Stegostoma tigrinum: one gene and its partners. The main gene of each other region encodes a partner of the protein of the gene in region 2 in a complex. Links are inferred from orthologs where the notes say so. Each region holds a gene or a part of one and is shown on either strand. Other genes may lie near its edges.

Region 1 (8,012 bases), on a different chromosome or scaffold from region 2:
CTGCAACTCCTCAGGGCTTCTTTTCTCCTCATGTGTTCCACCAACTCTCCTCTGCATCTCCAAAAATCCTGGCCATGATTACTTTCTGGCCCCTTACCTTACCAAACCTTGAGGATCTTAAACCTGGATCAGTCCCTCTCTCCCCAACTTCCTCACTCTCCTCCCTCTCTCATCACATGCCTTTCTACTCACCCTTGTCCTTCACACTCCCAACTCCACACGCTCTCTAACCTTACCTTCCACACTCCTTAACTCTTTCACTATTTACTTTGTCCAATCCTTATATCTTCCATCCTTATCTTTCTCTCTCCTCACCTCCCTTTCTCCTCAGCCTCGTCCTGCTCATCTACTCGCTCGTCATATCCTTCTTCACCTCCCTCACTTTTCACTCCTCCTCCTCACCTCCCTCAGTCCTCACAAACTCCTCCTCTTTATCTCCCTCAATCCTCAATCTCTCCTTCCCATTATCTCCTCCACGCCTTACTCTCTTCTCCTCACCCTCTTCACTCCTCTCTTGCTCTGTCTTGTTACTTCCTGCATTCCTCAGCTCTGTCCCTTTTCATGTCTCTCTTACCTCACCTCCCTCACAGGGCATTTTTCACACTCCGTCCTAGAAACATAAAATTACAAAGCACTTTTGAAAATGTCAATGGAAAGGGTTAATACCTAAGCTTGCATCTCCCTGCTCCCTATTTCTTAATTTGCTGTCTCTCACCTTCACATAAAGTGAAGGAATCTCACAATGATACAGCACAGAATGAGGTTATTTGGTCCATCATGCCTGCCCCAGATTTATCAAATTAGATTCAGTCTCCTGATCAGCCATTGCCCAGAAAATATGTTTTAATTGAATCTGCTTCTACTGCCTTTTCAGGCAGTGCACTCCAAGTCACTATTGTTGTGTTTTTTTCTCTCTTCTCCTTGATGGTTCTTTTGTTATTGGACAGGTGTTGCCAGATTTTCCTTTGGTGCCACTCTAATGATCAACCTTGAGTACTTCCCCTGCTCCCAGTAATTGTTTTCGAATCATAAGGTAAGGTGAAATTTGTTCCAGGTAAGAAGTTAAGCAGTAAATAGAGTGACTCACCTTCCCCAAGACCATGACACAAGTACACCGTCTGGAGCTCACCGGGGTTCTCTCTCTTATATATATGCTCCTAGGGCTCTCAATATTTCAAAACATCGAATTTAAGTGTGGGAAGTGCACAGCTGGATTCTGGCAAACACCACGAACATATCCCAAAGCCTTTACTGGCAGTGCCACAAGGTCAGGAGTCCAGTTTCATACAAACCCCAGTTTGAACCCTTGCCACCTCACCAAGCAAGAAAGTGGCAAGAAAAGGTCCAGGGTGGGAGACAGCTTTTAAATTAACAGCAACATGGCAAGTGTCCGACCCATCCAGTTGTCCAAGGACTCTTTGCCAGGAAGGGGCTGGATTCAGAGCTTGTGGGTGGTAGCACAGGGGTCAAGAATGTTACATAGAGATTGATGGAGCTAGGCCATGAGAGAATCTAAACAAGATAAGCATCTTAAATCATGAAGAATCAGTGGGCACTGATCCTGGGCATTGGACAAGAGGGTAAGGGAGGGCCAGTTTGCGGCATGGACAGTACATGGGATTGGTCACTGGACATAGGGTGTATTGGGCAGTGGGCATGGGATGTTCGAGGTTGGACAGTGAGAGCTGTCATCTTTTGGCATGGGGTTTTGAGCAGTGAAGACAAGGGTGTTCTCAGAGAGCATGGGGGACCGTTGGGTAATGGGTATGGAGGGTGTTGTCAGTGGTCAGAGGGGCTGATGGGTAAATAAGACATATGACATAGGAGAAGAAGTAGGCCATTCAGCCCACTGAGTCTGCTCCACCATTCAATAGATCATCAGTGCTGATCAATTAATTTTGAATTCCATATTCCTGCTTTTTCCCTTTGACTCTTGATTCCCTTACTGATTAAAAATCTGTCTATCTTGGCCTCAAATACACTTAATGACCCAGCCTCCACAACCATTTGGGGTAAAGAATTTTGCAGATTCAGTATCCTCTAACAGCAGAAACTCCTTCTCATCTCTGTTTTCAATGTGTGACCCCCTTATTCTGAGATTATGCCCTCTGGCCCGACACAGGGAAACAACCTCTCTGCATATACCCTGTCAAATCCCCTAAGAATCTTGTATGTTTCAAGAAAGTCACCTTGAATTCTTCTAAATTTCACTGCGTATATGCCCAGCCACCTCAACTCTTCCTCATAAGGCAGTCCCTCCACATCTGGGTATCAACCTAATGAACTGCCTCCAAAGTCAGAATAGTACTCCTTAGATAAAGAATCCAAAACAGTTCATGGTATTCCTGTTGTTGTCTGACTAGTGCCTTGTATAGTTTTAGTAAAAAGACTTGTTTAAAATAAAGGCCAACATTTCATTTGCCTTCCTTGTTACCCACTGAACTTGGATGCTAGCTTTTTGTGATTCATTGATGACGGGTCCAAATTCTCACTGTTCCGTAGCTTTCTGCGGTCGTTCTACACATAAATAATATTCATCCCCTCTGTTCTTCCTACCAAAGGACATAACTCATATTATATTCCATTTGCCAAGCTTTTGCCCCCTCATTTCTTTCGCAGACTCTTTGTGTCATCCTCACCACTTGCTTTCCCACTTATTTTTTGACTAAGTGTGAGTCAAGGTACAGCAGCAGAGTTTTAGATGAACCAAAGTTTCCTCATCTTGGAAAAGAGGTGGGGGTTGGGTGATGAGCGATGTGAGTGCATGTGTCTGTGTGTGAGACTGTGTGTGGAAGTGAGTACAGCACTGGACTAAGTGAATCTAGTCTTGATAAAATATAGAAGAGGATTCCACCAGAAGATAGACTAACCTCCTCTCTATCATTCCAACTTAAATTTATGTGCTCAAGAAGAATGTAAGGTGTAGGTGAGTGACATTATGGAGGCGGCAGTCGTTTGTCTTCAGCCAATTTGATTCACTCCACATGATATCAAGAAATTACTGAAGACACCAGATACTGTAGAGGCTATGGGCACTGACAATGCTCCGACAATAGTACTGAAGACCTGTGCTCCATGACTAGTGGGAGTGACTGCCCTTGGCATCAAGGTAGCAACTGACCAAGTACGGCATCAAGGAGCCATAGTAAAACTGGAGTTAAGAAGAAAACTCTCTGCTGATTGGAGTCAAACCTGACACAAATGAAGATGTTTGTGGCTGTTAGAGGTCATTCATCTCAGCTCTATGACATCTTTTTAGAAATTCCTTAGGGTAGTGCACGAGCCCAACCATCTTCCTCTGCTTCATCAATGACCTTCTCTCCATCATACGGTCAGAAGTGGTGATGTTCTCTGATAATTGCGCACTGTTCTGCACCATTCACGACAGCTCAGGCACTGAGGCAGTCCATGTCCTTAAGCATCAAGACCTTGACAATATCCAATCTCTTTTAATAAACAGCAAACAACATTCTCACCACACAAGTGCCAGACAATTCCCATCTTCAAAAAGAGAGATTCTAACCATCATCCCTTCACAGTCGATGGCAGATCTATCGCCGAATCCCCCAATATCAATATCCTGGAATTACCGTTGACCAAAAATTGAACTGGACCAGCAATATAGATACTGTGGCTACAATAGCAGTTCTGAGGCTCAAAATTCTGTGGTGAGCTACTCACCTCCAGTCTCTGCAACACCCTTCCATCATCTACAAAGCACAAATTAGGAGTGTAATGGAATACTCTGCACTTGCCTGGTTCAGTCCAACTTCAACAGCACTCAAAAACCTTGATATCATCCAGGAAAAAGCAGCCCTCCTGACTAACACCCCATTCACCAGCTTCAACATTCACTTCCTTCACCACTGATGCACAATGCCAGCAGTGTGTATAATCTACAAGATGCCCTGCGCCAACTCACCAAAGCTCCTTTGATAGCACTTTCCAATCTTGAGGCCTTTACTGCCGGTAAAGACAAGGGTAACAGATATATGGGAACACCACCACCTGCAAGTTCCTCTCTGAGGCACACACCATCCTGGTGCGGAAATACATCGCCAATCCTTCAGTGTCGCTGGATCAAAATTCTGAAACCCCCTCACACATGACATATGGGAGTGTCTACACTAGATGGAATACAGCTGTTCAAAAAGACAGCTCACCACCTGCTTCTCAAGGGTAACTAGGGATTGACAAAAAAATTATGTCCCACAAGTGACTGAAGTGGAAATGTTCAGAATAGTCCGATCAAGTTAAAGTACTGGCTAGGCTTCAAGGTTGTGTTAAAGATTGGCAGGAAAATTTGCTCCAATATTATGTGAATGAGTTAATAATTAATACTAATTAATTGTAATGAGTAACATTTTGCAGTTATCACAATATGAACATGTTTTTCATTCCTTAGTGATGTTTTAAATCAGTTATCGCTAAGCAGCAGCAGTAACTTTGAGATAAAAAGTTTAATTTTTGTAAATTACATTGCATTTTCTCTTCCACAAAATTCTGACATTTAAACTGACCAATTTTTCTCATAGTGGAAAACATGTTGACGATTCTAGCAGAGCAACAGTATTGTGCTGTTGACTGTTTACATCCTGCAACATTTGCCCCCAGAGCCACACTAAGGATTTGTTTGGGTCCCAACTTTGATCAGTTTGACCCATATTTATGGATAAGGATTATTTTGTGATTTAACAAGTTTTATTTACCTGTGAGAGTGTATACTTTTTTAAAGTATAAAGGCTTATACTGTTGAACACATCTCTGTTTTGTTTTTCAGTGCTACTGAAATCTGAGTCACAGGATTTAGGGTTTTGTTTGGTCTAAATGTTATAATTTCAACATCTTCAAGGGGGCAGCCCAGTCCAGCTTTCCGTAAAGCGGATTTCCGCTTTGCCCAAATTGTCGTAAACAGCCATGGGCGGTGACTTGCCCAAACTGCCGTAAAATGAGCCGCCATCTTTATAAAGTGCGGCGGTGTCGTGAAGTGCCCCAGACGCTGTCAAAATGGCGGCGGTGTCAGAGCCGGTGGCAGCGCAAAGTGAGGCCGAGGCCGAGGCCGAGGGCCCGGCTCCGGCTCCGGCGCCGGCGCCGGTCCCGGTCCCAACCGCAACCGCAGTCCCAGTCCCAGCGCCGACATCAACCCCGGCTCCGGCCCCGACCACAGTCCCAGTCCCAGTCCCGGCCCCGACCACAGTCCCAGTCCCAGCCCCAACCCCAACCCCAACCCCAGCCCCAGCCCCAGTCGCAGCCCCAACCCCACCTCCGGCCACAGCCCCAACTCCGGGCGCAGGCCCTGCTCCCTCCCCTTCCCCAGCCCCAGTGCCGACACCTTCTCCCGCTCCTTCTCCATCCCCCACTCCCTCTCCCACCCTGATCCCCAAGCTGGAGCCGAGTGAAAGTCCGGCCGAAAACCATAAGCCTGGCCTGGCCGCGGGTCCAGCTACAGCTCCGTGTCCCGCGACTGCTGCAGGCCCGGCTCCAGGTCCAGGACCAGAGCTGCCCGACAAGCAGACGCTGCTGGCAGTGCTGCAGTTTCTGAAGAAGAACCACTTCACAGAGGCAGAGGAGATCCTGAGGAAGGAGGCCAACCTGCAGGAGAGCCTGGACGAGTCGCTGCTGAGGACGGCCGGCCACAGGGGTTCGGACTCGGTTCATCAGCCCGATGTCAGCTCGGTGCTTTCGGCCTACAGCAATGAGGGAGACCCGAGCCTGTACGAGGAATATTACACTGGCCTCAAGGGCTTCATCGAGACGGCGCTGGACGCCTTTAAAGCCGAGCTGTCCACTCTCCTGTACCCGGTCTTCGTGCATCTTTACCTGGAGCTGGTTTACAATGAGCATGAGAGGGAAGCTCGGCATTTCTTCCACAAGTGAGGGGCCTCCAATACCACAAACTTATTATCAATGTCTGGAATATCATAACTATTACAATATCTGTATATCGTTAATATCTTGTCCTTTCCTGATTCTGATTTGTACTGAACTTGAATTCAACATTGGTTAGGTCGTAATAAGGATACTACCAACAGATCTGTTTATCGTAATACAGTGAGGACCATTGATTGCACCGGACAGGGTAGAAGAGTGCATTGTAGATTCACCAGAATCATATCTGGGTTCCTGGGGTTAAATAAGAGAGGTTACAGTATCTGCGGTTGTACTTCCTAGAATTAAATTTTTGACGTGCTATGAGAAATGACTGGGTTAGTAGAAGGAGACTTTTTGCTGAATGGGGAATCTAGGATACAAAGTCCGCCAATGAGTCTGGTATTTGGCAGTCGTTTTTTTAAAAAGTGTAGCTTGTCAGGACTGGAATTAAGATAAAATCAGTGTACTGCTGGGGACGTAAAGTAAAAATAGAAATTTCTGGAGAGATTCAGCAAGTCTGGCAGTATCTGTGGAGAGAGAAATGGAGGTAGTGTTTGAAGTCTGATGTGAACCTTCTTTGAAACTGAAGGAGAGCATCTGTAAGTAGTATCGTAACAGTTTGGAGTTCTCTTCCACAAATTCAGTTGGTGTTGGATTGGTTTATGTTAAATCTTGGTTGGTAAGATTTTTGCTATTGAAAGATATTGTAGAATCATGGAATCCCTGCAGTGTAGAAGCAGGCTGTTTGACCTTTCGAGTCTATACCAACTGTCCAAAGAGTGCCCCAGCTAGACCTAGCAACCGAAACTGTACCTGTAACCCTGCATTTCCCATGGCTAATCCACTTAGCCTGCATATACCTAGATACAGTGGGCAATTTAGCATGGCCAATCCACCTAACCTGCACATCGTTAGACTGTAGGAGGACACCTATGCAGACACTGGGAGAGTGCAAACTCCATACTCAGTTGTCTGAGGGTGGAATCAAACCTGGGTCTGAGGGTGGAATCAAACCTGGGTGGCAGGCGCAAAGGTGGGTGTGTGGGGTTTGTTGAAGATCAGCCATGATCTCGAATGGCAGTGGAATAGACTCGGAGATGAGCTGGTCTGTCCCTGTACTTCAACTGTGGAGTTCTGTTTTTTTTCTCACCACTTGCTCCAATTTACATGATAATTTCCACATTGATTTCCAGCATGTTTGCATCCCATTACGTTCCCCCTCTCTCCCTCATGTCATACTGAGAAGTCATCCCCTCTTTGTCTTGAAGATGGACTGTTATCACCTACATCCCAAACATCAGTTTCGGCCACAATGCTGTTGGAACAAGTAACGTTAGCGGTTGTGACAGGCTCATGCTGCTTACACACTCGGGCTACATCCATTGAAGGAGAGCATGTTACTCTTTGCGCATGACAGCTCCTGGAAGTGTCAGTCTTTTATGATGCACTCCTGTGCTTGTAAGCTTTTTAAACTGGGCAGTCCGCTGGTGGATGGTGTACCCCATTCCTGATCATGGGCCAAAGTTGGAAAGGAGGTGCAGGGGAACCCTGGTAAATGAAGAGTTTGACGGAATTCAAGTTCTTGGGTCAGGGTTGTGCTCCACTGGCATGTATCAAGGTGAGGATGAGGAAGTGGTGCGCGAGTTTATCCTGGAGAGCTACTTTGAAAATATTGTTGACTTTTTCTGCAATCTGTAGCTGTCTACTGAATCCACACAGTGAGAGTATGGGAGGTTACATCTATTGGAGTCTGAACCTGTCTTCTGGTTGGTTCCAGGTATCATGGGGATCAGGAAGGTTATTACCATGATGACCTGCGAGTGTTAGCTGGCCTGTCAAAGAAGGAACACATGCAGGGGAACGAGACAGTGCTCGATTTTCGGACTAGTAAGTTTGTGTTACGGATTTCACGGGATTCGTACCAGTGCCTGAAGCGTCACTTACAGGAGAGGCATAATAACCAGATCTGGAACATTGTGCAGGAGCAGCTGTTCATTGATGTATTTGATGGGATGCCGAGGAGCAAGCAGCAGATCGAGGTGACTTCTGGGGGAATGGCTGGAGAAGCAAAGAGGGAGGCAAATAAAACCAAGGTAAGGAACAATCTCTCTCAGCAGAATCACTGTTGACCCTATTGCACA
Region 2 (6,929 bases):
ATTTGTTACTTCTATCCACCCAGTCATTTATGTCTCCATGCAGTTTATAGCTATCCTCATAGCAGCCAAATTGTTAGAGGTACTGAATCCTGCAACTGCACTGGAAACAGCCTTCCATATTAAAAACTCAAGCTTTGGTTCCTGTTCCTCAGCAAGTTAGATACTAAGTTAACTACATCCCCTTGGAGTTAGGTTACATCAAGTTAAAGCTTTGCTAAAAAGCATGCAGACAAGCACAAACTACAACACCCTCAGTGCTGTCTTTCCTTGATCGCTATTAATCCACACCTTTGAACTGTCAGTTTGCAATCTCAACACCAATAAAAGTTTATTTCCACCAATGTGCTGCTGACTGGTCAGCAGTCAGCCCTCTGCTTTTCCAAGAGAGGCAGAGCTCCAATCTGCTGGATCACTTAGTGGACTCATGCAGTCAGTGCTCAACTTTGAAACTTTAACAGCCTAGGGTAAAATTTCATCAGGCTCTAAACTACAGACAGGCTGTAAACAGTGGTGCTGATCCTCACATTTAGTGAGTATTAATCACTCACTTATCAGCATAGTCCCTCGAGAAGACACCCATTTAAAACCATACCAACATCTTCAGTTTCTACACAGGGTTAGAAAGAGACCAAGACAAGTAACCTATTCTTTCATTAGAAACTTAGTTTGGGACAACAGCCTGAGGGAGAAAGCTAGCAGCTCAATTTTGGGTGTAGATGCTGTAGGGAGGATAGAAGGGGGGGTTTAAATTGGGGCACTCTTAATTATTGTCCAGTGATGCTATATAGGCAGAAATGGGTGATCATTGATGAGGTTCTTTGGATTCAAGAGAAATTCTACAAAATTTGTATGTAGGAAGATACTAGGGCCCCTTGAAGATAAGGAAACCATTCAGCATGGATTTGCAAAAGCTGGATGTGATCCTAAACTGATTTAGTCAGTTTTTTGTTTACACTGGAGAACATGGAAGCTAGGGTACACAAATTCATGGTGTCTTTAAAGTTTAGCTCACACGAGGTAAAGGTATAGTGCATCAAGGTGGTTAAGCCCCAGGACCAGATCAAATGGACCCAAGGGCATTGCAGAGCAGAGAGCTTTGTATCATTGACAAATATGGGCAAGGTCCTGGAAGACAGAAGGTGGCTAGTGTTGTGCTTTTTTAGCAAAGGCTGCAAAAGCCAGGGAACTAGACAGGTGAGCTGAAGGGGATTGAGGGACAGGATCTATGCATTTGGAAAGGAAATGACTGATTAGAGGAAGATAAACAGCATGGCTGTGCTGGGAGCATTCAAATTTGCTTGAGCTTGTAGTGAAGACATGACCAAGATAGGCAAATGCAGCAAGTTTTTTGCTGTCTACATTGGCAAGATTCTGCCTGGTAGATTGGTTAGTAACATTTGATCACATAGGACCCAGGGAAAGAGCCAATTGGATACAAAGTCATTTGATGGGAGACGGTGGTGGTACAGGGTTGTTTAGAGGCCTGTGACTACTGGTGTTCTGGAAGGATTACTGCTGGGTCTACTGGTTCTGATTTATAGGAATGATTGAAGTGAACAGGAGGCATGATCAAGTTTGCAGATCACAGATTTCTGTGATCATGCAATGAAGGTGGTTACCTCAGTACAACAGGACCTTGATCAACAAACTAGTTGGCCAAGGAATAGCAGATAGTTTAATTCAGACAAACAGGTGTTGCATTTTGGCAAGCTAAGCCACAGAGACTTAATGGTAGTATCCTGGGGAGATCTGACAAAGGAGACCTGCAGGTACAGGAGTACAGTTCTTTCAAAGTGGCAGCACAAAGTCCTGAAGACAGTCTGGCATGCTCACCCTCAGTCACAGCATACAGTACAAGAGTTTGGGGGGGGGATGTCATGTTGCATCTGTACAACACATTACATCTGCAGCATTGCACCCAATTCTGGTTGTCCTGCTATGGGAAGCATGCCAGGAAGCTGATTTTTTGCATACTTGAAGTATGCTAGTAAAACAGAGGTTTGAGTAAGGGTGGGGGGGGGGGGGGAAGAAGAGAGAAGAGCTGGTTTCCCCTTTCCCCCACTGGAGTGTCAGACACTACGGTGAGACCTTACAGGGCTAAAAATCATGCCAGGTATGGATAGGAATAGTTGCAGTCTTTCCCACCCCTGCAGACAGGGTAGTCAGATATTAGAGGGGGCACAGCTTTAAGGTGAGTGGTGACTTTCCCCCCCAGAGTGGCACAACATGAATGAGTAGTCAGGAGCTGTAGAGGCAGGTACAGTTACAATTGGAGACATTTGGACAGGTCCATTGATGGGAAATGTTGAGGCATGAGGGACTAGTTTAGAGAACTAGTCAGCATAGACAACGTGGGCCAAATGACCAGGTTCTGTTCTGACCCATGCTCATGGAGACTTGATGAGCTTCTCACTGATTTACAATATCCTTTTTAAAGTGACTCTATTTAAAGTCCAGTGTTCTATAAGCTGGGGTGTCAGAAAAGTTTTGCTTTTCTGTCTACTTCATCAATTGGTCTCCCTTATTTACTAAAATCAAGGTGATATTATCAGAAACATTTTCCTTTTAAGATGCCACAGTTAAGTTTCCCATAAATGTGAACAGTCCATTGCTTTATGCATAATCACAAAACCATTCAAGGACAGCTTTCACTTGACAGCTGAAAGATGTTTAGAGTAACTAGTTTTACATTAGTGTAGTTTTGAACAATACTACAGCATTCTAAATCAGAACACTGCCTTTAGACTTCAGACATTCAATATTTAGTCTAAATACTAGCAAGCACCAAAGAAATAAAGACTGCTTACCTTTCAAGCCAACGGCAGACTTCTTCCCAAAGATATGGGAGAGCTCTAATCTTAGACTGAAAATAAGTAGCATAATTTTAAACTGAAGCTTGTTGTACAGAACACAGAACAAACTAATGCTCAAACAGCTTTTTTCCTAAGTGGTTTTGAACATTATGTGCCAGAAAAGACTTAAAGCAAAAACAATAACCCAATCTGAGACCACATCCTGATAAAGCAAGTTATACAACATCCAAGCAGCAAAAAAAAACTGAAATAGAGAACTACGGATATCGAAGATCCGATTTTCTGAAGGAAGGTCCCGAACCGAAACGTCAGCTTTCCTACTCTGATGATGCTTGGCCTTCTGTGTTCTTCCAGCTGCACAGCTACCTGACTCCAGCATATGCAGTTCTTACTACGTAAGAAGCAAAGAAAGAGGTTACTGGAAAAAGCTTCAGGACTGCCAGCACCTGTGAAGAGAAAAGTTAATGGTTCGAGTCCAGTGACTCTTCAGAACTAAGCTAGCCACGTAACTCGAAACGTTAACTTTTTTAATCACAGGAGAGATAAAGTCAACCGAAAGCTCCATCCGTTTATTCTTTCGAATAAAAGTTATTCGATTGGAGAACAAACTAGCGCCTAGTCCAGTTGTGCGCTGACAGATCCCTGTAGAATTAAAATTAAAGCAGGTTTAACATGTCCTCTGAAAAAGAGGATGAGACAAGTTGCTGTTTCCACACACACCACCAGGTGTGGCGCCCTTTAGCATCTGAAGCCAGGGAGCCATCTTGCACACAATAATGTACAAAGATAAAATCAGAAAAGTCGCGGAAAACGGTCGCTTTTGACGCGAATCTCGCCGAAACCATCAAGGCGGTCAGAGATGTCAGGCTCCCGGGCAGGACCAAGCGGGATTAAAGCGTTTGCCTTCGTGTGGTTGCTCGGCGGCGCCTCTCCAGCCCGCTCGGCACAGTCATTCTACAGCCCAATAACGCGTTCCTTCATTCGCCGGCGCTTTAAACCGGGAGCTGACCAATGACGGAGGGCGGCTGCCGACCCACTTCTGACGTCACCCCCAACAACACGGCCCGGTGCGCATGCGCGGTCCGAGTCAAACAAGAGTTCTGCCTTAAGATGGCGGCGGGGGCTTCAGATCTGTTGGACGATGTGTTCTTCTCAGACGTGGATGAGAAAGTGGTGAGCGACTTAGTCGGCTCCCTGGAGTCCCAGTTGGCGGCTACGGGCCATAACGCGGCGGAACAGGCCGGAATAAGGGCGCAGGTGGTGAATAATCACGTGGAAAACACACCCGGGATGGTGAGCAATAATGTTGAGCTGCAAACAGCAGAGAACAAAATGGGACTGGCAGGAGCTGAGGTTTCCACCGCAGCCAAAATCAAAGTGGACGAGAGCTCTGAGGGTAAAAACGCACAGATTAATTCGCAGAACACATTTGGCAGTGGGGTTTTGCCCTGTACGACGGCGGGGAGTGGGGCACAGCAAAGTGTTGTTATCAATAATGCAAGGTCCCAGGCTCCAGGAGTAGAACAGGAGCAGAGTACAGCGGCAGTAGCGGCAGTGACAGGATCGTCGGAAACATCAGCTTCAGGCAGCATCGGTCAAGGAAAATCGGTGGTGATAAGTGCAATGGCAACCCCAGTGTCCAACCATGTGAAAACTGTCACCTCCAACGTACAAACTCTTAATGGGAATAATGGAATGGCGATAAACTCTCACAATGCAGGAAATGCCACCACTTTTACTTGTTCAGCAGCTGCAACTACCTTGCCAGCTGTTACGGTGGTCAATAATGGACCTGGATCTGTTGTAAAAAACACAGTTAATACAGGGTTGCCAGCAGTGTCTTTGCCAGTCTCTAGTTCTGTCTACACTGTTATTCAGACGTCTTTTGTCAGCACACAGAATGTTCCTTCAACTGTTGTTTCATCACAGGCAGCAGGACCCACAGTGACATTGGTGAGACCACCAGCGCACAGTGGCCCAGTTCTGCCAGTTGCATCAGCACCAAATGGTAGTAGTACTATATTGAACTCAACAGTTAGTGTAACTAACTTGTCAGCACCTAGTGGCACTGGAGCTCCACATCAGACTTCACTTCTGACTTTAAACAGTCAGTCTTCTAGTTTGTCAAGCAACGCTTCTTTGTCCACTGGTGGACAGGTTATCAAATCTGAGTTACAGCCCAAAACAATTATACAGACACCACAGCAGACTCTCAGTGCAGGAATATTGACATCAACAACTGGTAGTGCGGTGACCACTTTAAACAATCAGTCAAACACAAGTACTATGGTAATAGGTCAGACGATACAAAGTGGACTTCAGAATGTGGCATCCAATCCTGGAGGAATTTCCACTCAATCAGTTGGTACGCCAGTTGGAATGGGCAAAGGAACCATTAACACAATTGCCCAAACTATGGCAAGGACAGCAGCAGTGAACACTGGCCCAAGGACAACAATAACACCGCAAGTTATAGCTCCCCGTCTCCCTCAACCCCAACAGCATCAACCAAACATTCAAAATATTCAAATTCCCCCAGGTGAGAATAAGATCATATTGGTCAGTGGCTTGTGCTTTCTTGTACTATTAAGAAATTTGAAAAATTACTTATTTTCTGTTCCAGCTTAATGCTAGTCTTTAGAATATTTACTTATAGTTTTGTCAGAGGCAATTAAATCAAAGTGGGAAAACGTAATGTGCAATGGGCTGTCAACTGTCTCCATAGACTACAGTGACGCAAAATTATAGGCAGTTTAAAAAATGTTTGTATTTTCCAAATGATTTATAATACAGCCTAACAATTTCATAAATTAGCATTTCTGACTAGCAGAATATAAAAGGATAGTGTCACAGTGGAAGTTAATTTAATTTTAACATACTGAACAATTAACCTTGTGTATATAATGTTAATGGCATTACAGTCTACAGTTGTAATTCTACTCATTTCCAGGTGATCAGAGTGAAATCACTTGCAGATCCAGCTCTTTGTTCACGTTAAAGCATTGATCATTATAGGGCTTGTATAGCTTGTATGTAGTGGAAACTTGCATTTACCTCCTGCAGTATCGTGGCTGTGTTGATGAATTTCTGTTATGTGAGTAAGTAATCTTAGCAGTTGGTAAAGTTAGTTTTATTTTTCGGTGTGCAAAACACTGCTGCCAATGTACAACTATTAAACTTTAAATCCAGTATATAAATATTCACCAGCACTTTCCGTAGCCTTCAGAAGTTGAACAAAACTGCAAAGACTTTTTTAAGAATCAATTAAAAGTAACAAATACTTGCTGTGCTTACTGACAGATAACTGATTCAGCTGATGAATTGCATGTTAATATTGAAGTTTTGCTCTGAAATGAGTGGACTATAACACCGAATAGAGCTGATAAGGATTATTAAAATAATTATTTAAATTATTTTTGCTTATGTGGTATTACAATTTCCCTTTTGTCACCTGTGACCAAGAGGTACTAATTGGTGATTTAAGATCTAATATTGTGGAATTATGACTAATGTCTACAAAATTATCACTTGTAGTTCCTGCATTTGCTACTGCATTGTCAAACTGGAATCAATACCAAGTTAATCAGACGTGGTTATCATCACGCTGACTTCAAAAAAGTGCACTGAGCAGCAGATGAAGCTTTTTTGCTATAATTGTTTAAACAAATAGAAGAGCTAGATTGATCGCTTAAATTTTGCAGTTGTAAAGTTTGACTTGCATCTGGAGTATTTTCAGCTACAGTAGTAAAGCTTAGATTCCCATGGGAAATTTGTTTAAAATTATGAATTATGTTGAACAAGTATCATCTGAACATAACCTTTAAAAGGAAAGAAAACTTTAGGTGAGTACTGCTTTCACCGTACATCTTGCGCTTATAGAGTCAGTGTCGTATAGCGCAAAACAGACCCTTCGGTCCAACTCATCCACGCCAGTCAAACATCCCAATCTGACGTTGTCCATTTGCAGCATTTGGCCCATATCCCTCTAAACACTTCCTATTCATATACACTTTCAGATGCCTTTTTAAATGTAATTGTACTCATCTCCTCCACTTCCTTTGGCAGCTTGTTCCATGCACATCCCACCCTCTGCATGAAAAAGTTATCCCTCAGGTC
Region 3 (7,319 bases), on a different chromosome or scaffold from region 2:
ACCCCCGCCCCCCATCTCCCCCCGCCCCCGCCGCCCATCTCCCCCCGCCCCCGCCCCCGCCGCCCATCTCCCCCCGCCCCCGCCGCCCATCTCCCCCCGCCCCCGCCCCCGCCGCCCATCTCCCCCCGCCCCGCCGCCCATCTCCCCCCGCCCCGCCGCCCATCTCCCCCCGCCCCGCCGCCCATCTCCCCCCACCCGCGCCGCCCATCTCCCCCCACCCCCGCCCCCGCCGCCCATCTCCCCCCACCCCCGCCGCCCATCCCCCCCCACCCCCGCCGCCCATCCCCCCCCTCCCCCGCCGCCCATCTCCCCCCACCCCCGCCCCCGCCGCCCATCTCCCCCCACCCCCGCCGCCCATCCCCCCCCACCCCCGCCGCCCATCCCCCCCCTCCCCCGCCGCCACCTCCCCCCACCCCCGCCCCCGCCGCCCATCTCCCCCCACCCCCGCCGCCCATCTCCCCCCACCCCCGCCGCCACCCCCGCCGCCCATCTCCCCCCACCCCCGCCCCCCATCTCCCCCCACCCCCGCCCCCCATCTCCCCCCACCCCCTCCGCCCATCTCCCCCCACCCCCGCCGCCCATCTTCCCCCACCCCCACCCCCGCCGCCACCCGCCACCCATCTCCCCCCACCCCCACCCCGGCGGCCCATCTCCCCCCACCCCCACCCCGGCGGCCCATCTCCCCCCACCCCCACCCCCACCCCGGCGGCCCATCTCCCCCCACCCCCACCCCCACCCCGGCGGCCCATCTCCCCCCACCCCCACCCCCACCCCGGCGGCCCATCTCCCCCCACCCCCACCCCGGCGGCCCATCTCCCCCCACCCCGGCGGCCCATCTCCCCCCACCCCCACCCCGGCCGCCCATCTCCCCCTCTTCCCGCCCCCCCCCCGGCCGCCCATCTCCCCCTCTTCCCGCCCCCCCCCGGCCGCCCATCTCCCCCCCCCCCCCCGGCCGCCCATCTCCCCCCCCGCCCCCCCCCGGCCGCCCATCTCCCCCCCCCCCCCGGCCGCCCATCTCCCCCTCTTCCCGCCCGCCCATCTCCCCCTCTTCCCGCCCCCCCCCCCCGGCCGCCCATCTCCCCCTCTTCCCGCCCCCCCCCCCCCCCGGCCGCCCATCTCCCCCTCTTCCCGCCCCCCCCCCCCGGCCGCCCATCTCCCCGCCCCCCCATCTCCCCGCCCCCCCCCCCGGCCGCCCATCTCCCCCTCTTCCCGCCCCCCCCCCCCCGGCCGCCCATCTCCCCCTCTTCCCGCCCCCCCCCCCGGCCGCCCATCTCCCCGCCCCCCCCCCCCGGCCGCCCATCTCCCCCTCTTCCCGCCCCCCCCCCCCGGCCGCCCATCTCCCCCTCTTCCCGCCCCCCCCCCCGGCCGCCCATCTCCCCGCCCCCGCCCCCCATCTCCCCCCACCCCCGCCCCCCATCTCCCCCCACCCCCGCCCCCCATCTCCCCCCTCCCCCGCCCCCACCCCCCATCACCCCCCACCCCCGCCCCCGCCCCCGCCCCCCATCACCCCCCACCCCCGCCGCCCATCTCCCCCCACCCCCGCCCCCGCCGCCCATCTCCCCCCGCCCCCGCCGCCCATCTCCCCCCGCCGCCCCCCGCCCATCTCCCACCGCCCCCCCCGCCCATCTCCCACCGCCCCCCCCGCCCATCTCCCCCCACCCCCCCCGCCGCCCATCTCCCCCCGCCCCCCCCGCCGCCCATCTCCCCCCGCCGCCGCCCATCTCCCCCCGCCCCCGTCCCCCATCTCCCCCCGCCCCCGCCCATCTCCCCCCGCCCCCGTCCCCCATCTCCCCCCGCCCCCGCCCCCCATCTCCCCCCGCCCCCGCCCCCGCCCCCCATCTCCCCCCACCCCCGCCCCCCATCTCCCCCCGCCCCCGCCGCCCATCTCCCCCCGCCCCCGCCGCCCATCTCCCCCCGCCCCGCCGCCCATCTCCCCCCGCCCCGCCGCCCATCTCCCCCCGCCCCGCCGCCCATCTCCCCCCACCCGCGCCGCCCATCTCCCCCCACCCCCGCCCCCGCCGCCCATCTCCCCCCACCCCCGCCGCCCATCCCCCCCCACCCCCGCCGCCCATCCCCCCCCTCCCCCGCCGCCCATCTCCCCCCACCCCCGCCCCCGCCGCCCATCTCCCCCCACCCCCGCCGCCCATCCCCCCCCACCCCCGCCGCCCATCCCCCCCCCTCCCCGCCGCCACCTCCCCCCACCCCCGCCCCCGCCGCCCATCTCCCCCCGCCCCGCCGCCCATCTCCCCCCGCCCCGCCGCCCATCTCCCCCCGCCCCGCCGCCCATCTCCCCCCACCCGCGCCGCCCATCTCCCCCCACCCCCGCCCCCGCCGCCCATCTCCCCCCACCCCCGCCGCCCATCCCCCCCCACCCCCGCCGCCCATCCCCCCCCTCCCCCGCCGCCCATCTCCCCCCACCCCCGCCCCCGCCGCCCATCTCCCCCACCCCCGCCGCCCATCCCCCCCCACCCCCGCCGCCCATCCCCCCCCTCCCCCGCCGCCACCTCCCCCCACCCCCGCCCCCGCCGCCCATCTCCCCCCACCCCCGCCGCCCATCTCCCCCCACCCCCGCCGCCACCCCCGCCGCCCATCTCCCCCCACCCCCGCCCCCCATCTCCCCCCACCCCCGCCCCCCATCTCCCCCCACCCCCTCCGCCCATCTCCCCCCACCCCCGCCGCCCATCTTCCCCCACCCCCACCCCCGCCGCCACCCGCCACCCATCTCCCCCCACCCCCACCCCGGCGGCCCATCTCCCCCCACCCCCACCCCGGCGGCCCATCTCCCCCCACCCCCACCCCCACCCCGGCGGCCCATCTCCCCCCACCCCCACCCCCACCCCGGCGGCCCATCTCCCCCCACCCCCACCCCGGCGGCCCATCTCCCCCCACCCCGGCGGCCCATCTCCCCCCACCCCCACCCCGGCCGCCCATCTCCCCCTCTTCCCGCCCCCCCCCGGCCGCCCATCTCCCCCTCTTCCCGCCCCCCCCCGGCCGCCCATCTCCCCGCCCCCCCCGGCCGCCCATCTCCCCCCCGCCCCCCCCCGGCCGCCCATCTCCCCCCCCCCCCCGGCCGCCCATCTCCCCCTCTTCCCGCCCGCCCATCTCCCCCTCTTCCCGCCCCCCCCCCCCGGCCGCCCATCTCCCCCTCTTCCCGCCCCCCCCCCCCCCCCGGCCGCCCATCTCCCCCTCTTCCCGCCCCCCCCCCCCGGCCGCCCATCTCCCCGCCCCCCCATCTCCCCGCCCCCCCCCCGGCCGCCCATCTCCCCCTCTTCCCGCCCCCCCCCCCGGCCGCCCATCTCCCCCTCTTCCCGCCCCCCCCCCCCGGCCGCCCATCTCCCCGCCCCCCCCCCCCCGGCCGCCCATCTCCCCGCCCCCCCCCCCCGGCCGCCCATCTCCCCCTCTCCCCGCCCCCCCCCCCCGGCCGCCCATCTCCCCCTCTTCCCGCCCCCCCCCCCCCCCGCCCCCCCATCTCCCCCTCTTCCCGCCCCCCCCCCCCCGCCCCCCCGCCCCCCCCCCGGCCGCCCATCTCCCCCTCTTCCCGCCCCCCGCCCCCTCTTCCCGCCCCCCCCCGCCCGCCCGCCCATCTCCCCCTCTTCCCGCCCCCCCCCCCGCCCGCCCGCCCATCTCCCCCTCTTCCCGCCCCCCGCCCCCCCCGCCCCCCCCCCCCGGCCGCCCATCTCCCCCTCTTCCCGCCCCCCGCCCCCCCCCGGCCGCCCATCTCCCCCTCTTCCCGCCCCCCCCCCCCGCCCCCCCCCGCCCGCCCATCTCCCCCTCTTCCCGCCCCCCCCCCCCCCCCGGCCGCCCATCTCCCCCTCTTCCCGCCCCCCCCCCCCCCGCCCCCCCATCTCCCCCTCTTCCCGCCCCGCCCCCGCCCGCCCGCCCGCCCGCCCGCCCGCCCGCCCCCCCCCCCCTCTCCCCCTCTTCCCGCCCCCCCCCCCCCTCTCCCCCTCTTCCCGCCCCCCCCCCCCCTCTCCCCCTCTTCCCGCCCCCCCCGCCGCCCATCTCCCCCTCTTCCCGCCCCCCCCCCCCCGGCCGCCCATCTCCCCCCCCCCCCCCCCCCCCCGGCCGCCCATCTCCCCCCCCCCCCCCCCCCCCGGCCGCCCATCTCCCCCCCCCCCCCCCCCCCCCCCCGGCCGCCCATCTCCCCCCCCCCCCCCCCCCCCCCCGGCCGCCCATCTCCCCCCCCCCCCCCCCCCCCGGCCGCCCATCTCCCCCTCTTCCCCGCAAACCGCTTCCTTTCCCCGCCCCTGCGCGGTGATGGCAATTTATTCTAAATCGCCGTCGCCCGGGCAACCACAGTGACAGGCCTGACGAGCCGATGCGGCTGCCTCGATCGTTCGAGCTGCCGGCGTTCGATGGGTCGTGTCCGAGAGTCCAAGGAGCCGGCGGGCGTCGGGGGCACAACATGGCGGCTCGGGAGTGAGGGGCCGAGCGGCGGCGGCGGCGGCTCCGGGAGCAGTGCTGTCAGTTGGCTGGGCCGGGGAGTGATGGTGGTGATATGAAGGAGGGAGGGAGGGAGAGAGAGAGAGAGACGGAGTCCCAGAATAAGGCCATGCCGACCCGCCGCGCTTGAAGGACAGAGTTGGTGGGGGGGGGGGCCGGTTGGGTATTAGCTGTTTTATTTTAACAGTATTTTGAGGCCGGGATGTGCGACGCTTACGGCAGGGCCTTGCTGCGGGTGGCGGTGGCTCAGATCTGCCAGGCTCTGGGATGGGACTCGGTGCAGGTCACGGCCTGCGACATCCTCACCGACGTGCTCAACAGGTACATCGAGCAGCTGACCCGGGGCTGCCATCGTTACAGCGAGCTGTGTGAGTACCTGAGACCCTGTGATCTCCATCCATCGGGCACAGACACAACCTCACTCATTACAGCACACACAGTCTTCACCCAAACAGCCTGTCTCTGAACAGCCAGCCCGCGTTCTACACTTGTAGGCCTCTAGCTCCCTGGACTTCAGAAGATGGAGAGGCGGTCCAGGCGAAAACATATTGTTCCCAAAGGGGTACCTTGACAGGTTGGGTGCTGAGATGACTTTTCCCCACGCCCTCTGGTTGTTCGCCCTCCCCCTTCAGATTCCCTGCAGCCCCAAATATCGGCTGTGTCTTAGGGTCTGGAGGAGGGTTCACCGGGAAAGGTTTGAGAATCTTTGGAATTCTCTTCCCCCTCCCACACAGCCAGGGATGCTCTGTCAATTGAAGGCTGACATTAATGGATCTTTCGAGTATTACGGGATATTGGGATAGTGTGGGAGGACACAGGCCAGAAAGGAAATCAGCCCAGATCATCCTGAATAATGGAGTTGGCTCGAAGGGCCAAGTGGCCTGTTTCAGTCTCTCTTTCTAACATTTTCACCAAGCCTGGATGTTCCTGTTTGTAGCGCTTGTTGTTTACAATTGACAAGCTTCATGGATTTTGAGATTTCAGCTGATACCTCCAATCTGACTGAGCACGTTATTATCAGGAAAAGCTCGGCAGCTCTGGCAGCATCTGTGGAGGAGAAAACAGAGTTAACATTTCGGGTCCAGTGACCCTTAGAACCGTTCTGAGGAAGAGTCACTGGACCCACAACGTTAACTTTTTTTTTCCTACAGATGTTGCCAGACCTGCTGAGCTTTTCCAGCAGCTTTGTTTTTGTTTCTGATTTAGAGCATCTGCAGTTTTTTAAAAAATATGTTATTTTTTAGTGTTAGCAGCTGAACATCCCTGTAAAGTAAACATTGATTAATACTAACTTAATTTTTTTGTCTTCGGCATTGCCATTTAAGTGAAGTGGAGTTTAAATGATGGAGTACAAAATAAGCAGTAAGCTTCCACTGTTTTGAGCACTTAGTACCTGCCAAAAGCTTCCTTTATTTCCTTGACCAATAGTGTACATTGCTTGATATCCAAGATGGCCTTGAATTGTTTGTACTTTTACTTTCATTATTTCACTTTTGAATGACTCCTACTGTTGAAATGTAGACTAGCCTAGAAGTAGTTGCTGCCAGTCCTATTTGGTCAGAAGGGTTCTGAAGAAGGGTCACCAGACCTAAAATTTTAACGCTTTTCTCCTCCACAGATGCCACCAGACCTGCTGAGCTTTTCCAGCAACTTTGTTTTTTGTTCCTATTTGGTCAGATCCTGTCTTATGTTAAAGTCAGCCTTCCCTCAGTTCATAACTTTTACTTCTGGGCCATCTTTATCATTTTTCACAACAACCTTAAATTTCACTGAGGTATGGTCACTATCACCAAAGTGCTCTGCTACTCACACGTGCTTGGATATTCTCCCTAAAATTAAGTTGAGAACTGCCCGCTTTTAAAAAATATCCTGGTACATTTTAAGAATTCTGTTCCCTCTAAGCCTTTCACACTTTGTCTATCGCAGGTAATATAGGAAAGCTTGAAATTGCCTTTTACTGTGCCCTATTATTTTACACTTCTTGAGATTTAGCCGATATATGTATTCTTTTGGTAGTCCTTTACTGTTTGAGGGTGTATAGTACACTCCCAGAAATGTGATTTCCCTTCTTTAAGTTCTGCCCATGTGGTCTTATTTGAGGAACCTTCTAAGATATCATCCCTCCTTATTACAGTAATGACAAGTAATTGACTCCTTGATTAGTGTTATGACTACTCTTATGCTCTCAACTAGCCTGACGATTCTATACTCCAGAATATTGAGCTGTCTGTCCTGCCCCCCTCACAACCATACCTCAGTGTTAAGAACGAGAGCATATTTCTATATATTAATCAATCATCCTCACCTCACCTGCCTTATTTGCAAAATTCATTGCATTAAAATAAATGCCATCCAGCCTTGTGCTCCTTTGTGCCTTAACTTTACTATATATGTGTGTGTGTCTTACAGACTGGATTTTTCCTTTGTATTTGACTGTATATCACCCACTGGGCAATTTACAATCCCCAGCCACTCATTCACCTACCCACCACACCACACAGATATCGGTCCAGTTTCTGGGTCCGGTGGAAGCCATTGGACTAGTACAGGTCCCACCTTCCCTGGAAATAGACCCACTCATCGCGGAATCTAAAGATTCTAGACTTGCACCAATTCTTTTAGCCACCCATTTAACGGTGAGATCTGCCTATTCCTATGCTCACTAACACGTGGAACCAGATGTAATCCAGCGGTTGCAACCATTAAGGACCTGTTTGTCAATCTATAACGTAGCTACCTAGATTGTTGTTGTAGAACTTCATCCCTCTTTTTACCTGTCGTTCGTATCTATATAAACTTCAACTTCTGACTGTCACCTTCTCCCTTCAGATTCCATCCAGCCATTCAGTGACCTCCTTGATCCTGGCCCCAGAGTG
Region 4 (6,838 bases), on a different chromosome or scaffold from region 2:
AATGTATAAATTACTAATTTTTGAGTATACACAGGTGGTCCCTGATTTATGAACGTCCATCTTAAGAATGCTTGTACTTATGAGCGAGATTCCATAATATTAAATTTAAGGATCCGACATGCAAACATTCACTTATGCTTACAAATAGATATTTTATATTATTTCTCATTGTGTTCTCACTTACATACAAATCGACTCACGATCATACTCAGGAATGGAACAATTCTTAACCCAGGGACTGCCTGTACAGACAGTCATACATTCAAAGAAACTTCTGATCTGTCCACATTACCTGGGTAACATTTTCCACTGAGACTCTACATGTTGCGTCAGCTGACGTATATGTATCTGAGACAGAAGCCGTAGTCATTTTCACAATCTAATAGTTGCCTGAAACAAAGGTATATTCATGTTAACAATCAATAAACTGATATTTCAAACAACACCTGAACTTTCATTTTTACATATGCAATACATCAGTTTAGATTGACAAAAGCATGTTTGCATCGTGTAAAAGCAAGGCCTACAGGAACAGAAGAACATTACATATTGGTCTTTTCACTCAATGCAGCCAGCAGCAATACTTTGAATGAAAGAAACTCTTACAAACGGGAGCTAAGTGGATCATTCACACCCACCCAAAATGAAAAACCAGCAAAAACCAGAATGCATCTCAACGTCTTTGAACATTTAAATGGAGAAAAGCTGCAAGACACCACATATTTCAAAAATATAAAGAAATCACAAACTCAAGAAAAAGCAAAAGAAACCAGAAAAAAAATTAATCTTCCCACAAAGCCACTAAAATGCCAAATGGGTTTCATATCTGCCTAGCAACAAGGTTCTTCCACCTTCTCTAGTCTTCAAAAAGAATTAAATATTGAAAAAATTGCTATCATCCATTATAAGAGCAATGAAGGAGCATGTACTTTGTCATCAACCGGTGAGTGCGAAGTTCACTAGCAGAGATGCTGCATACAAAATAAGAATTAAATTATTATGGAAATACATTAAGGTGTTCCAAGATCCTAATTCTACTATGTAGGCTTGTTGTTAGCATTTAGCCCTCTATGCATTCAATAATTTGAAACAATTACCAGCTACCCATGAGAAGCATGACGGGCGGTCGAAGAAAACAAAAAACATCTCTCTTAAAACTCAGAACACTTATTTTACTATTTCATGGGAATATAGAGCCTGCTGGTAAGGCCAGCATTTGTTTCCCATCTTGAGTTGCCATCAGGATTTGTTACATTGTTGTTTGTTCAATTACAGGTGACAGATTATTGTTCAAGCCTACCTTCAGTATATAATATAGAATGGCACTTCAGTATAGTAAATTGAATTGATTCTCTGTACTTTTAACTACTAATTACACAACCTAATTACAGCACTGACAAACAGGAGGCTGAAAGAACACAGGAAGCCAGGCAGTATCTGGAGGGAAGTCAACGTTTTGGGTATTACCCTTCTTCAGGACTGGATGTGGGGTACAGGGAGCTGCAGATAAAGAGGGGAGTGGCAAGGGAGGGTAGCGGAATGGTGCTGATAGGAGATTTTTTTTTCTTTTATTTTAAGGCTGAATTACAGGGCCACTGCACCGGCATATATTGGCTATATGAAAATTGTTACTTGCTTTGAGCTAGTTAACCTTGTAAAATCATTTTACAATACCAGTGTTGAGGCAGTGAAAATATTGCCTAATTGATGCCCAATGCACCTGAAAATCCAACCACATGCTCCTTACATCCAGTGGATATGTCTGTGGCAAGGTACTAACGATCTGAAAAACCACATCCTTCCTGGATCCCACTTTGTGGCAGTGATGCAAGTACATAGGGCTAGCTGAGAGTCAAGTGCATCAGGTAAACCCTTCAAGTAGGTGATTTTCTTTCCAAGTACTTTTCCTCATCCATTATCATTCTCGATATCCAGAAATGCTGTATTCGCTTGTCCGAAATGCTCTCCCTTCGCACCACAATTAAAGTTTTGAAAAATATTTTGTTACATCGGATATGTGTTGACTGTCACATTATCTACTGAATATGCTTTTTTCATGCTCTTAATATAATATATTATTAGTTAATCTGCCATTTTCACCTTTCCTTTAAAAAAAGCTACAGAAAAACAAGGATTGAAACAGTCAGCACAGAAGAAGTGAAACCATTCATCACTTCGCAGGATGGCTTCTATTACAACTCAATGGAGTCTAAGTTGTGTGGAAACATGTTATTTTACATGCAGATAGTGTTCTGAAGCTACATACTGTGATGGGTAAAGGCTTCACTCTTTGTTCCATCTTACTGCTGCCCAGAAATCTCTTCCACTACTGTGTGGAACCAGATTTTGCAGTTTGGCTACATTATGAATGCATCTTCCTTGGCCATCAAATAGCTTCTGGCTCAGAGGCAGGGACACCACCCACTGCATTACAAGCTCTCCTTTTAAATTAGCAGACAGATCGAATTTACAGCCATTGATCATAAACCATTTCACATTTACGTGGAGCAAGAAAAACTCTAATTCATGCAATTTTAAAAGGCATTTATCTAACGTATACTCACTTTTAGTGCCTCAGACATTTAAACTGTAAATAATCGCATTTGGAAGACTTTTTTTAAGCAAAATATTTTGCTGCATTCAAAAAAAGGCAGCCGACATCGACGAATAAATTACTTCCTTACTAAATTTTAAATTTCATGAGTGCGTTAAGCTGTATGTAACTTTATAAAACTGGGACATTTATTTCTGGTTCAGGCCTGTACACTCGAGAGACTCCTGGCTGGACACCGGCTTAAAGTAAATTAAGATTTGATTTCCTTGCTTCAGGAAAATAAAACCATCCGGTGCCTAAACGCAAGCAGACTTCACAATTACGCTTGTTTTCAGTGCGGCCGGAGATTTTAGATCCGAAAGAGTCGCACGCTATCGGGATGAAAAATGATGCAGCTCGTCACCTCAGCTCAGCTCCGCCGACCCGCTTCCGCTCCTGCTCGTCGCTGCCTGTACTGCCCCCTGCGCTGGCTGAGCGGGGACTGCAGCCTGGTGCTCCCAGCCTGACACATCGCTCGCATCGGTGCCTTAAACTGAAACACATCCTTACACCTACATGTATCCTTCACCGAACGTCTCCCAGCCGCATGGAATGCTTTTGAAATGTAGTTCCTACCTTAATTTTTTTTTGTTCTCTCTCTCAGAGGGCTGTGAATGTGTGGCATCCTTTGCCACAGAGGGCTGTCAATTATATTCAAGGAGATAGATTTCTTATCATTAAGGGCATCAGGGGTTATGGTCACAAGGCAGGAAAATTGAGTTGAGGATTACCAGATTAGCCATACAGATAATGGGAACTGCAGATACTGGAGAATCCGAGATAACAAAGTGTGGAGCTGGATGAACACTGCAGGCCAAGCAGCATCTTAGGAGCACAAAAACTGACATTTCGGGCCTAGACACTTACCATTTCTGTCCTTTATCATCTATGCCCAGAACGTCAGCTTTTGTGCTCCTGAGATGCTGCTTGGCCTGCTGTGTTCATCCAGCTCCACACTTTGTTATATCAGATTAGCCATAATTTGTTTGAATGGCAGAATATATGCAAAGGGCCAAATGGCCTTCCTCTGTTCATAAGTCCCATAGGGAATAAAGGACACCAGGCAATTTGAATGGGAAGGCACAGGTATCAGCTCAACATTTAACCAGTAAGATAACACCTTCCGACAGTTCTTATTGTAGTGGCTGGAATGAGATCAACCAAGTGGGCATTATAGAATAAGAGTTCCCTGACTGGGGCTGTTAACCTGGTCTGACCAGAGGGCCCTGGCTGACAGGAGTGTCAGCGATTCTGTTCACTCTAGGAGACAGTTCTAAGCTAGCTGGGTCAGTGTTATGTACTATGCATGTGTAAATAAAGGCTGACTTGGTGACAGGATACCAGCCTTTGTGGAGCTACTTCACATACCACCTCAGGAGTGGCAATTTTTATTTTGACCCTTGAGTCCTAGACGAAGACTTAAACCCAGACACTTTTGACTTAGAGTCAAGAGTGCTTCCAACTGCACCACAGGTGACAGCAGCATTTACAGGGCCACACTGCATATATCAAGAGCATATCAGAACTGACAATAAGACTCCTGAGACCACTAGGAACCATGGTGGCCCACGAGCCCACAGCCACTCTATGACAAACACTCACATGGATTAAAGACCCCATTCCCACGACATGCAGAACTGACATGGTTTACAAAATACCATGCAATGACTGCCACAAACATTACATCAGGCAGACAGGAAGTAACCTAGCCATCAGGATACATGAACAGCAATTAGCAACAAAATGGCACAATGAAGTCTCCTTAATATCAGTACATTCAGACGATGAAGGCCATCAGTTTTACAGGACAAGATAACTATAGTAGCCCAAGCCAAACATAGACATGCACAGGAATTCCTGGAGGAATGGTTCTCCACATGTAATGCAATCAACAAACACATAGAATTGTACCCCATATACAAACACATACAGATCAAAACCAGAAATGACACTAGTCACCACAATGGACCAAACAATATAACTTCCAAGCAGAATAGAATAGCTTTGCTTCATCGGAGGGTCCACTGACAATGTCACCTAGTATGGTGATGAAATGTTTGAATGAAAACAAGCCAGCTCAGTGGACAAGCCAACAACCTCACCCACAACCCGAGCTACAGATCTTTGCCAAAGCTCTGAATTACAAAGCTCTTCACAGAGAATGAGCTCTTCTTGAAGTGCAGTCACTGTTGTAATGCAGGAAATTTGAAGAGCAGACAGGATCTCAGTTTAAGATCTCACCTAGAAGATGACATTTCACTGCACTCTCTCAGTACTACACTGAAGTGTCACCCTAGTTTTTAGTGTTTAAACTCCGGAATAGGTGTTTAACGCACAGTCTTTTGATGCAGAGTTGCTGCTAATTGGGTCATAGTTGACAATCAAAATACATTAATATGGAAAGTGATGACTGGCTTCAGTTTGTGTTCTAAGTTTGTTTCCCACAGTTATTAACAACTTTGTTTTTCTGTGTTAGCCTTGTTTTTAATTTTTAAAAAAGGGTATTAGCAGCACATTGTCCAAGAAAAACTGATGCACTGCATGAAGAGAGTGAAGTAGCATAATCAGTAGGTCAGTATGTCAGTGTGGTTAGTTTCATTTAGCATTACAAACTATCTTTTTTTTACTTTAATTGCAGTAAGAAGTTGTATGAACTTTGTTTATACACCGTCAATATTGGACAGAGTTTGAACGAGTGAATTACCTCATTGTATTTAGAGAATGATAATGAATGTCATTACTATAATGAGTTTTCAGGAACCTGGTGGCCATGAATGGCAATATTGAAATGCAAGTCTTACTTGTTTTTGTCATGATTGTTCTGATGTAGGAAACACAGCAGCTAATTTATGTGAAGCAAGCTCCCACAAACAACAAAGTAGTAATGATCTGTTAATCTGTGGAAATTGGGAAAGAAATGTTATTGGGGCATAGAATTGTACACTAGGTAAAAAGGCCAGATGGCCTATTGAGTCTACATTGACCCTCCGAACAGAATCCCATTCAGACCCAAGCCCTAACCTATAAATTCACATGTACCATGTCTAATCCACCTAGTCTACACATCTCTGAACATTACAGGGCAATTTAGCATGGTCAATCCACCTAAACTGCACATCTTTGCAGAGTGGGAGAAAACGAGAGACCTGGTGGAAACCCACACAGGCACAGGGAGAACATATGATCTCCACACAGCCACCCAAGGCTGGAATCAAACCCAGGTCCCTGGCATTGTGAGGCAGCAGTGCTAACAATGGTGCCACTGTGCTGCCCCTACACCCCTTTGAAATAATGCCATCCAAATTTTTACATCCACCTGAGGAGGCAGCAAGTCTATAGTTTCAAAGCCAGGGCAGGGAATCCTACAGTGATCACAACTGCACTACGTTTCATTAAAAAGCCAAGACCTTCAACAATGCAGCTCTCTGGGACCGTATGAAAAGTACCAGTCTTGATTTTTCTGCTTAACTACTAGAGTGGGACATCCATCCACAAGTCATTTCTCAGCCTTGGCTGACACCTACCACCAAAAGTTATTGTTTAAAGCAGAGCCAGGAAATTTATGGACATCATAACTGCCTAAGGATATTTTTGAGCAGAGATGAAGATTTATTTTGCAAAACCCCTGAATTACTGCTGTAGAATATGCACTATTTTGTGTCTTTGCAAAATTCAGTCTCAGTGAGAACACAAAACTGACAGTGACAGTTTGATTGTCTATTGTGATGATACAAAGATAGGTGGACAGTCAGGTAGTACTGAGGAGGTGGGGAAGCTGCAGAAAGATTTAGACAGTTTAGGAGAGTGGTCCATGAAATGGCTGATGAAATTCAATGTGAGTAAATGTGAGGTTTTGCACTTTGGAAAAAAGAATGCCAGCATGGACTATTTTCTAAATGGTGAGAAAATTCACAAAGCAGAAATGCAAAGGGATCTGAGAGTGTTGGTCCAGGATTCTCTAAAGGTTAACTTGCAGGTAAAGAACGTAATTAAGAAAGCGAATGTAATGTTGTTGTTTATCTCAAGAGGGTTGGAATATAAAAGCAGTGGTGTGCTTCTGAGGCTTTATAAAGCTCTAGTTAGCCCCCATTTAGAATACTGTGTCCAATTTTGGGCCCCACACGTCAGGAAGGACATACTAGCCCTGGAGCGTGTCTAGCGGAGATTCACACGAATGATCCCTGGAATGGTAGGTTTAATGTATGATGAATGGCTAAGGATCCTGGGATTGTACTCATTAAAGTT

Evidence for each region.
Region 1: taf4a (region 2) and taf5 share a complex: the UniProt entries of both Homo sapiens proteins name them as parts of the TFIID basal transcription factor complex. The link is inferred for Stegostoma tigrinum from reciprocal best matches to the Homo sapiens genes TAF4 and TAF5.
Region 3: taf4a (region 2) and taf3 share a complex: the UniProt entries of both Homo sapiens proteins name them as parts of the TFIID basal transcription factor complex. The link is inferred for Stegostoma tigrinum from reciprocal best matches to the Homo sapiens genes TAF4 and TAF3.
Region 4: taf4a (region 2) and taf8 share a complex: the UniProt entries of both Homo sapiens proteins name them as parts of the TFIID basal transcription factor complex. The link is inferred for Stegostoma tigrinum from reciprocal best matches to the Homo sapiens genes TAF4 and TAF8.

Annotation. Positions count from the first base shown.
Region 1 is NC_081373.1:15,636,660-15,644,671, forward strand, and holds the start of taf5 (transcription initiation factor TFIID subunit 5), read left to right. Parts: upstream 1-5,007; coding exon 5,008-5,873; intron 5,874-7,648; coding exon 7,649-7,964; intron 7,965-8,012. Other genes in the region: inactive pancreatic lipase-related protein 1-like, read right to left, coding at 3,923-4,112. UniProt on the Homo sapiens protein: The TFIID basal transcription factor complex plays a major role in the initiation of RNA polymerase II (Pol II)-dependent transcription.
Region 2 is NC_081372.1:17,927,098-17,934,026, reverse strand, and holds the start of taf4a (transcription initiation factor TFIID subunit 4), read left to right. Parts: upstream 1-3,916; 5' UTR 3,917-3,923; coding exon 3,924-5,352; intron 5,353-6,929. UniProt on the Homo sapiens protein: The TFIID basal transcription factor complex plays a major role in the initiation of RNA polymerase II (Pol II)-dependent transcription.
Region 3 is NC_081378.1:7,658,590-7,665,908, forward strand, and holds the start of taf3 (transcription initiation factor TFIID subunit 3), read left to right. Parts: upstream 1-4,302; 5' UTR 4,303-4,645; coding exon 4,646-4,811; intron 4,812-7,319. UniProt on the Homo sapiens protein: The TFIID basal transcription factor complex plays a major role in the initiation of RNA polymerase II (Pol II)-dependent transcription.
Region 4 is NC_081374.1:14,876,053-14,882,890, reverse strand, and holds the start of taf8 (transcription initiation factor TFIID subunit 8), read right to left. Parts: upstream 3,021-6,838; 5' UTR 2,958-3,020; exon of another isoform or gene 2,565-2,957; intron 391-2,564; 5' UTR 371-390; coding exon 293-370; intron 1-292. UniProt on the Homo sapiens protein: The TFIID basal transcription factor complex plays a major role in the initiation of RNA polymerase II (Pol II)-dependent transcription.